Schizosaccharomyces pombe: one gene and its partners. Changing the gene in region 1 together with any one later gene gives a genetic interaction. Each region holds a gene or a part of one and is shown in the gene's direction. Other genes may lie near its edges.

Region 1 (3,761 bases):
GCACTTTTCCCGTTAAAGGTGTATCAGAAGAGGTACTTGAGCGATTCTCTAAGTAAAGCACATTAAATTGTGTATAACCTTTTAGGAATGAAAGAGAACAATTATTACATTGCCAAATATTTTTTTAGTGCTTTTTCACTTTACAAATATCTCACTCTCTACTTTATGGTAGGCTCTCATTTTTGGAATATTTGCCCTGATATATTGCAATATTTCCAAACATCTTCTTAGTTATGATTTCTTGCTTTATTGCTTTAATGTATAAAAAAAATATTTGCTTATTAACCTGTGTTTGAAAACGGAGTTTAGGCACCACTTTACCAACTTCACAATTTATACAGCATTTTGAAGATAATGATAAATTTGTAAACAATAACAAAAAATAAGCTTGTTTGAGATTTTCAAATAACTTAAATTGACCTAGTACTTGTTGTCGTTTAACGTTAAGCTTAATCAATAGCCGAGTAATTAGTAAATGGGACTTGCCGAAAACAACGCTTTTCAACTTAGAAAATTTAGCAAACCCACTCATACCTTTTAATAAGCATGGTCAACGCAGCCATAGTTGTTTCCTCAAATCGTCCAAATGTGCTTGAACAGATTTCCTCCTTGTTTAGAGATGGGAAGACTCGTTCTCTGGGGGAACAGTGGACTTTAGTATCAGGCCAACTTAAAGGAACGTTTGAAGATGCTAAAGACGCTTGTAACCGCATTTCTGCTACTGAGAATGTAGACTGTAATTGCTTGAGTGAAGCAACATTTTCCACTAAAAAGAAGCTTGTAGTATTTGACATGGACTCGACGTTGATTCAACAAGAGTGTATTGACGAGCTCGCGGCAGAAGCAGGCATCCAGAAAGAGGTTGCTACGATTACATCTCTTGCAATGAATGGGGAAATTGACTTTCAAGAATCACTTCGTCGTCGCGTTTCTCTACTACAAGGGTTGAGCGTCGATGTCATAAATAAAGTCATTGGCAAAATTACTTTCACTCCAGGAGCTAAACAGCTTTGTCATTGCCTTAAGCAAATGGGTGCGACTCTTGTTGTCGCTAGTGGTGGATTTGTTCCAATGGCTGAATATGTCAAGGGACAACTGGACTTGGACTATGCATATGCCAATGTACTTGAATTTTCCGATGATGGTAAATTCCTCACTGGAAAAGTTCAAGGTGCAATTGTAGATGGACAACGAAAAGCTTCCATTTTGCGTGAAAAGAGGGAAGAGTTGGGTTTAAATAAGCTCGAAACGATGGCTGTTGGGGACGGAGCTAACGATTTGGTCATGATGGCCGAATCCGGTTTAGGAATTGCGTTCAAAGCTAAACCCAAAGTTCAATTATTGGTATGTTCGAAATTTTTTTACAAATTTATGTTTTTAATGATCTTACTAACTCGATTTTTTTTTTTAATTAGGCTGATTCGAAAATCAATCTTCCATCTTTGCAAAACGCTCTTTACCTCTTGGGTATTGATGAGCAACAACAAAAAAAGCTATTGGAAAACAAAAATTAATTTAGAATTTCCAAGAATTTTTCAATCGCAAGGCGCTGTCAAGAACTCTGAGCTACTGTGGCTTGGTTTTTATAAAGCAATATTTTACTTGTGCGCGTGGTCTTTTTTTCTGTAGTAGGAGCCGTCTTTTATATACCCTACTTCTTTATTTTTGATACTCTTATTTTTCTTTTTCCTTAATTTACAATTTTGGTATGATCAATGCTTCATTGGAAAGGGTGTGCAATGAATGCTTAAAAAAAAAGGGGCAGTTCAGAAGCTTTCTTCTTTAAAACAGACAAGAATTACTCAATTGGTTTTTATAAAGCCGATCATTTACTCTTAAATCTGCTTCGTTATGCTGATAGACTTTGAAATTGATTCGTGCAATGACTACACCTTCGTTTCATAGACCTTTCTTTATTATCATTTATTAATTGTAAATAATACAATTGTATCTAGTTATTAAGAGTTGCAGAAAACATGTGCTTTTGACGTATTTCAACACCGTTTCCCTTGTATATATTCAGAGGTATTCATATACTACTACCCATGCGAGATTCATTATGGCTAAATCACCATTCCTGGAGCTTTCTTACGATATATTGCTAGAAATTAGTACATATCTTGATTATAAAGATATAGTTCATTTGTCAGAAACATGCAAGTCACTTTCGTATGTTTTTGACGACAAAACAATTTGGCATCGATTTTGTGCACGGGTCCAAGGTCTCACCAATGTAGTCCCAGTTGTTGATGATAATTACAAAAGACCCTATGCTGTATGGAAAGACCGAGGATACGCTTACTCATGGGGGCAACAGATAAGAAACTATTTGGGCCGCGTCGTCAATACAAATCAGTATCCTCGAGATCGTCCTGGTGCATTGACTGGGAAGGACGTTCGTTCTACTATTCAGGTTCAAGTTGGGTAAGCGCATAGATACAGGAATTTATTTGACTGCACTACAATGACTAACTATTCCCTATGCGGAATTTAGAGGTTATGGGATGTATTTATTAAATGAAAACGGAAATTTATATGTTACGGGGGTACCAAACAATGTTGGGCCCGAATTGATGAGAGATTTAGAGCCAATTGTGAAAATCCATGCTGGTCGAGAGTTTTGTCTTGCACTCGGTGAGACGGGACACTTGTATCAAGTATCTCTAAAAACACGAATTTGCTTGACAGATGAACAAAATATGCTATCAGCCTATCGCGGAAGAATTGCTAATTTTAAATCAGGTTGGGACTCGCATTCGGCGTATGTGCCGGGCATTGGCTTTCTTGTCTGGCACACTGGACGAGAAAGTGAAGCGCAACTTTTCCAGCCAGAGGCATCGATGAAGGAATTCGTGCTGAACGATTATGTTCACTGCGCAGGATTCCTAGTGTATACTGTCGCATCACCTCAGAAAAAAGGCGCCGTGTTTCGTTTAGACCTGGACCAAGCTACACAACACACGCTAGGAAGAGAATTGAAGAGGTTCGCTTCGCACGACCCCCATCAAGGTTGGCATTTAGCAGGCAGCTTTGAAACTTTCACATGTTTATCGGACGATGGCAATACTGTTTACATGGGTCATGCTAATACCAAGCAGGTCGATGATGACCCGGTTATCCACGACTTTCTCCAGAACCGAGGAATTAAGCAATTGGCGCATGGCGATCATCATCATCTTTACTTAACAAGCGATCATTCCATATGGTCGTGGGGTGTTGAATTACGTTATTGTGGGTGTTTAGGTTTGGGTTCTCTTCATTTGCAAGAACAGACATCTGATCCCAGCATTGTTTCTGATCCACGCACCGCACGCAACATCGTTTCCATTCCACATCAAATTCACTTTTCAGGAACTTGCTATTCAGTTGCAGCCGGCGGATGGCAAAGTGCTGCTCTCGCCATTTCGGAATCTGTTTTACCCGAAGTCAATGTGCCTCCAATTACAACTTTTTCTATCATCCGACCATCCAGAGTTCCAGCGTTGCGCTTTTTAGCTGCCCCTGCGACTCGGACTTTGGAAAGGGACGGCTAGGTGAAATAGTGATCAACTTTGCTTGGTAAGCTAATTTCCGCGTGCGCACTAGAGAAGGATTTTATTTTGTCCGCTAAGTAAGTGAAATAAATAAATATCTCGGCCACCTCGGACTTCCGAATTTATCTCTATTTTTACTAATTCCTCTAGGTAAGCCAATTATAAAAAAAAGCAGCACAAGGAAAACACAACGGTGATTAAATAAGTGAGAAAATTTTTTTTCCTTCT
Region 2 (2,729 bases), on another chromosome or scaffold:
GAAAATGAAAAAGATGACTTATTTGTCGCAAAAATTTTTTTATTAGCATATTCATCTTCCAAAAATCGAAAGAAAATTGTTCCAGTGGACGTTTGGGATGCCATGATTGACTCTTTATACGAAACAATAAATGTCGAGGAGACAAAAAAAGAAACTTACAAGTTTACTCGAAGCATAAAAACTGTGATTCCTAATAAATTAATATCTAACGAGTCAATTTCAATATTATCTATTCCTGAATCAGAAAAGACTATATACCAAAATTTTGATTTATATGTTTCAAAGTTTAACGTCGCCAGGAAAGAGTTATCCGAAAAAGAACTTTTCAATAATTCTTTTTCTTCTTCATTTAATACGTTGCTCGCTAGCTTGTTGGTTAAGCCAACCTTATGTCTGATTTCTTATTTAATGATTGCAAAAAAAATGGTTGTATTACAGGAGGCAAACCGCTTATTTCTTAAATCATTTGCCCATCCATTCCATTTGGAACGATACCATCTACATGCTGTAGCTGCAATGGGTGGTCTGTATCAAATTATGTCTTCTACTCATCTGAAAAATTTGTTTTTCTGTTCCAGGAAAGGAATCGCTCTGACAAAATTACATAGTCAGCAATACAATGAATCAACGTTGTTTCAATACTTGTCAGAATTTGTTCATCAGCGACAAAAGTCGCTTACACCGAAACAGAGAATCGCTATACAAGAACTTATTTTAAAATTTATGCAAAGAAATTTTGAAAATAGCCTTTACCACCAATCATTCAGTTCGCACTGGTTTATATCTCGACTATTGATCAACCCGATTCGAATGCTCTGTTGGCATATTACAGATGTGGGGAAAACGCTGGATCTCGGAGAAGCAGAGAAGTTACTAAAATATAATCACAAACAATGTCCGTACATAATTTACCCATCAAGCTTAAAGGCAGTGCAAAAGTTAGGTGGATTACAGTGTATCATTAGGAATGATAATTTGAGCCATATATTCAATTGTTCAAGGAAATATATCAGAGTACAAAGATATTCTGACGATGATTTATCAGAATCCAGTCTTCTACCGCGGTTGGTTAATTTACTTTTGTTTTTTGAAAATTCAATGGGGGAGGTTGCATGGAACAAACTTAGTCAAACGTTAATGGATATGTTTGAAAAGGAGACAAAGAGCAATTCTTTGAGTGATTATTAAAGCAAAGACATCAATTAATTATCTATCTTAATTAGATGCGCAATAAAAAAAAAAAAATAATATTTCCCTAAAGAAAGACAATCAAAAACGAACTGCTTAAAATAGAGGTTTAACTCCCTTGTTTAATAACCCATAAGTTAAGTGTACTAAGGTGCAATTACTAAATGTTCCAAGCAAACGTATGTTAAAGATGTAAACTAAATAGTTGGATCTGATTTGGTCAATAATTAATCGCATTTTCTTAATAGCTGAAAACTCGGATTTTAAAAGAAATTATTTTATTCTAATTTATTATAATGACAATAGCTGTTTTAATTTTACGAAGATTGCTATATCCTTAACCCCATATTGCTTATTCTGCTTACAGTATTGTTTTTAAATTTTAGTGAATAATAAAAGAAGAGAGTCGCTAAATAATTTAATATTTGATTATGTCTGTGTTATAATGCTTTAGCGTAATTTAGCAACAAAAACAGTCACCTGAAGTTGAGGTACTTTTGACATTTACACCTTTCCAGCACCATAGGAAAATTGTAATATCCGTTTTTTTTTTCACAATGCATTTGATGTATTATTTAAATGATGAGGGAAAGCGTGTTTATACTTTAAAAAAGGTATCTCCAGATGGAAGAGTCACAAAATCTTCGCATCCTGCTCGTTTCTCTCCTGACGATAAATATTCTCGACAACGTTATACTCTGAAAAAACGGTTTCATGTACTACTTACTCAATTGCGTAAGTATTTCTATTAAATTAATTGGTATAATGATAGTGTTCTAACGATTAGCTGCAAAACCTTACTGAGCAAATAAGAAAACGTCGAAAAATTTTCGCCTTTAGAAGGGAGCTACATAAGTATGGTTTTGGTTAAATAATCAATAGTTTTGATTTTTCTTTGGTTATGTGAGTAGTGTGCTCAATTGAAAAAAAAATATATTTCAACTTGAGTTGATTTTCCGATGTTTATTGCGAAGCATTATTTGTTTGGCATTTGCATTTATTATCTATTAAACTACAAAGAATAAATCCCTGGTGTATACATAAAATCTTTTAGTAAATGCTAAACAGTTACTGAGAATGTAAAATAACGATAAAAGTAGTAACATACTAGTGGTAATTCTGAATGAAAAACGAAACAACATTTTTTTAACCAATTTGTGAAAAGAAATAATAAAAAAATAAAACAGATGTAAAAAGCCAAGTATCTATTCAAACAGACTCTTTGAACATACAAAACTTAGGATAGTTCAAATTTCTCCATTTCAATTCTTAAAACGGAGATATGCCGCTCAAGCATAATCCTCAAGGAGATTTCAAGTCTAAAATGAGTCAAATATTTTGACATCCGTACCTTCAAAGATGCCTGGCCCTTCTCTTTTATGACTGTCTAAATCGCATGAGACTTGCCAGGCGAATAGACGAGCAAAATTTGCCAATTGTTGTCTCCATTCCTTTGTTCTATATTTCGGAATGTATGGTTGATTAGTTGCTGGGTATTTTTGAGTTTTTATCATAGCCATGATTTCTGAAGCTGGATGACC
Region 3 (3,761 bases), 660 kb from region 1:
TTAAGATGAAATAAAGGGGAAGATAACAAGGAACGGAATATAAAAGAGCATTTCGAACCGAATGAAACATTTTAAGCCGAATGTATTGAAATCGAAATATTTGAATTGAGAGATTTTTATTTTATCTGACTAATGATGAGAAAGGATAGAAGAGAACAAATAGAATAGAAATAGAACTAAAGATAAAAAATATGAGAACCAAAATAGCAAAACAAAAAAAGCTAAATACTAGGTAATTAATAAAAAAAAATTTAAAAAAGGATTTCTAGTAAGCGTACTACTAAAACAAGTTTAAGGATTTGATGAAAGATTGTATGTTAGAAAAATTTTCATCCTCTTTTTTTTTTTTTTTTTCTTCAAACTTCATACAAACGTAAATATCTCTCAAATTTTGCAATACCGTCCTCTTCTTCCTCGTCGATTTAGATCCGAAATTCTCCTTGGCAGCAGGGGACGGAAAATGAAATAAAGTGTTTTAGCAATTGGGATCGCGAAACCACCTGCTAGAAAGTGTTTAGGAAGAGAGTCGCCGTTCGAAACATAGCGATAACGAGTTCAAGAGCAGTATCCGTAAATTCAGAGGATTAGTGAGTGCCAACACTTCTTATAGATTACGGATAGTAAGCAGTAGTAGATGAAGGATGATGGATAGGTGGATGATCGGGGTGGGAGAAAGTAGGGAGACAGAAGGAAAATGGAATGTAGCTAACTGATAATGAAGAGAGAGAGAGAAAGATTATTTCGTAGATAAAATTTGGTGAGCTTTGACAAGATAAGTTTTGTTGGAAAAATTATGAAAGTATGCAAGAGTGTGAAGAGTAAACAAAAAAGAAAAAGAGACGTTATAAGAGGAAGGATGAGTTTGATGATCTTTTAATATCTAACGAACATAAAAAACTAATGAATGTAATAATTAATAAATGAAGCAAACTAGCGAATGCAACACCACCTATTGATTGCTTTATTTATTTATTTTTTTGCTTGACAAATACCCTTTGGATTTACTCACTATCCATCTTATCCACCGTAGGGGCCATAGTAGACTCGCCTTTCGGCAGCCTTAAAAACGCTACCCTATGTTTCGGGTTTAGGGTGTGAATACGCTATCCATCTAAGGGTCCGTTCGTTTATCACACCCAAATCTTGATGTCGAGGATCTCAGTCTTCAACGTCACCATCTGAAAATTTACTCTTGTTGGGTTGTTTCGCCCGACAAGACTAGACCTAGCAATGACAAGCAAAGTAGAGAAAGTAAAGTAAAGAAAACAATAGAAAAGAAATCAACAAAAAAGCAAGAGTAGAAAAGAGTATTAGCCGTTTCTAAGATTTTGAGCAGCGACTCTCTACAATGTTTACACTGTTTACATTGTAGGAATAGTCGCTTGCAATGAATAGCTGCATCGCTACTAGAACTATTGCATGTGAAACAGTAAATACCAGACTAGAAAGATGAGAAGACCACTAGAGAAGAAGGACTAGAGGAGAAAAGGGACTAGAGGAAAAAAGGAACTAGAGAAAAAGGACCAGAGAAAAAATGATTAGATGAGTAAGTGAGTTAGAAAAAAAACAATTAACCACAAAAAAAAATAAATAAAAAATAAAAATAAAACAATCAAGAGCATGCCTTATTTGTCAGCAACCTTCCTTTATTAGACAGCGTCAACACATCTCAATACAAAATCTTCATCTCACTTCCTCCTATACTTCAACACAGCATCTTCCACCTTGTCTTTTTGCTTGCCCCGCTGCCGCCCTTCAAGCTCGTCGGTACTTGTTCTCATATTCGGTTTTACCTCGGATGCTGTTACCTCGATACCAGGTTGGGTCACCTAATTTTCTTGCAAAAGTCCGTTATCCCAAGTTGTCCCAAGTTGTTCGGTCTTGCTAATTAAGGGGATCATCACCCTATCTTGACCCGTTTAACGCAAGATAACACAGAATCTTTAAGACTAAAAATTGATGCCAACTTGATATAAAACGTGCTTCGTTCGCTCTTTTTTCTCTTCCAGCTCGCCTCTTCAAGCACTTGATCCAATTACGACACGAGAAGAAGGATAGGAACCAGCGTAACTGGGAACAACTAGCAACTATTACGAGCAATATCTTTTAAAGTCCTTAGACACTCTTGTTTACTCACTGCTATCCCATACTCATACTGCTGCTTGCCCAGTACTATTTGTTACTGAAGAGTGTTGTTGATATTGCCATTCCTACCGCTACTACAACCACCACAGTACCACCACCGCTTTTTTTACGCATCCTTTCCCCATCTCAAACGTACGGGATAATTCTCTCAAAGCGTGGAATCAAACCCTTTGTTTTAATTGTTTTTTACTCGTTCACCTGCTATTTGGTGGGCTGTCTGACTTTTGTTTTCTCATTGGCTAGTTGGATTGTTGGACAAGGTTGTCTTATCATTGCATCGATATACCTCATTTCCACCCGTTGATTGATCAACCCTTGTAAACTTAGCCTTTGTTTGCTATAGAAACGGCTTAGTCACTTGTCGTTCTTATTTTGGAAATCGTTCTGTCTTTTCCCTATATCGCCTACTTCACGTTACTGTTAGTTTTGATTGAGCGAAGCAGTTTTAACGATACGAATCAAATTGAATTGAATTTTTTTATTCACAATCCCAATCATCGTCTTATTTTTTTTTAAACCACCATCAATCTTCCTTCTTACAATCCAAGTGGTTTTGCTTTAACTTGGACTTTGTGGTTATTATTGGTTTTTTGTATTTATAATAATTTTAGGATTTCGGGTTTACCTTTTTTTGTTGATATAATATATATCTTTTTACTTAGAAAAAGAAAAGAAAGGAATATATACATTTCCAAAGTGTGAATTACTTGGTTTCCCTCTCTTTACTTGTTTTTGTTGCTACTACTACTACTACTACTTTTGTTGTTCAATTGGTCTTGTCGTCGTTTCTCGGTCTTTCATTTTTACTCAGCATCTTTTTAATTGTCTTTTTTTGGTGACATTTCCTCTCACCTGTACTATCTGCCCCGTTAGCCTATACTATTCGTGTTTAACGTTTTAAATTTTTTCCTTCATTGCATTTGTTGAAGTGCAGTTTATTTGAAGAAAAATTATTTTTGGCTTTGCTTTTTTTTCGCAATCGTCTCTTTCTTTTCAGCTTTAACGTTGTATAAATTAGATTAAACCTTTAAAAAGAGAGAAAAATAGATACCTAAAGACCTTTTGCTTGGCTTGTTTTATTATTTTCACAAAAAAGTTTTTAATATTTTTTTTATCTTTTCTGGTTTTTTTATTCTTATTTTTTATCTTTTCTAATCTTTTTTTTAAACTCTTTGACTTTAACATGGCTCTTAATAGTCAACCCCCTTTGTCCCCCAAACCCGTTCCCTCCAATACCTGGAAGCGGATCGGCATCGATGCATTTGCCGCTACAGCCGCCAGTGCCATGATTTCTCCCTTTATCTTGACGATCGACCGCTCAATCGTCGAAAATACTAGTGGCCGTTCTACTTTATTACGCTCTGTTAGTCGCTCCATCAAATATGTTTTATCAAAGCCAGGCGCCTTCTTTTTTAGCGCTCCCTTTGCCCTGGTCTTTACATTATACTCGGGCACATATATGACGGCCAATTCCATAGACACACTGGATAACATTCGTCACAAGAATCCCGTCTTCAAGGCGGAAACTTCCGGCTGGTTTAAATTCTGTTCTGTCACCGCTGCAAACAGCGGTTTATCCATCTTGAAGGATAGTTTCTTTACCAAATTTTGGGGCA

The links.
Region 2: mutations in pof9 (region 1) and nop10 together harm fitness more than expected from each alone (negative genetic interaction), as found in Schizosaccharomyces pombe (one large-scale study listed by BioGRID).
Region 3: mutations in pof9 (region 1) and SPOM_SPBC365.16 together harm fitness more than expected from each alone (negative genetic interaction), as found in Schizosaccharomyces pombe (one large-scale study listed by BioGRID).

Annotation. Positions count from the first base shown.
Region 1 is NC_003423.3:1,869,788-1,873,548, forward strand, and holds pof9 (F-box protein Pof9), read left to right. Parts: upstream 1-2,045; 5' UTR 2,046-2,059; coding exon 2,060-2,424; exon of another isoform or gene 2,425-2,494; coding exon 2,495-3,533; downstream 3,534-3,761. Other genes in the region: SPOM_SPBC3H7.08C (uncharacterized protein), read left to right, coding at 1-56; phosphoserine phosphatase Ser2, read left to right, coding at 547-1,344, 1,416-1,514.
Region 2 is NC_003424.3:1,634,521-1,637,249, reverse strand, and holds nop10 (snoRNP complex protein), read left to right. Parts: upstream 1-1,745; coding exon 1,746-1,923; exon of another isoform or gene 1,924-1,975; coding exon 1,976-1,992; 3' UTR 1,993-2,139; downstream 2,140-2,729. Other genes in the region: SPOM_SPAP27G11.14C (uncharacterized protein), read left to right, coding at 1-1,188; SPOM_SPAP27G11.12 (uncharacterized protein), read right to left, coding at 2,508-2,729. UniProt on the Schizosaccharomyces pombe protein: Non-catalytic component of the H/ACA small nucleolar ribonucleoprotein (H/ACA snoRNP), which catalyzes pseudouridylation of rRNA and is required for ribosome biogenesis.
Region 3 is NC_003423.3:2,527,660-2,531,420, forward strand, and holds the start of SPOM_SPBC365.16 (uncharacterized protein), read left to right. Parts: upstream 1-2,007; 5' UTR 2,008-3,328; coding exon 3,329-3,761.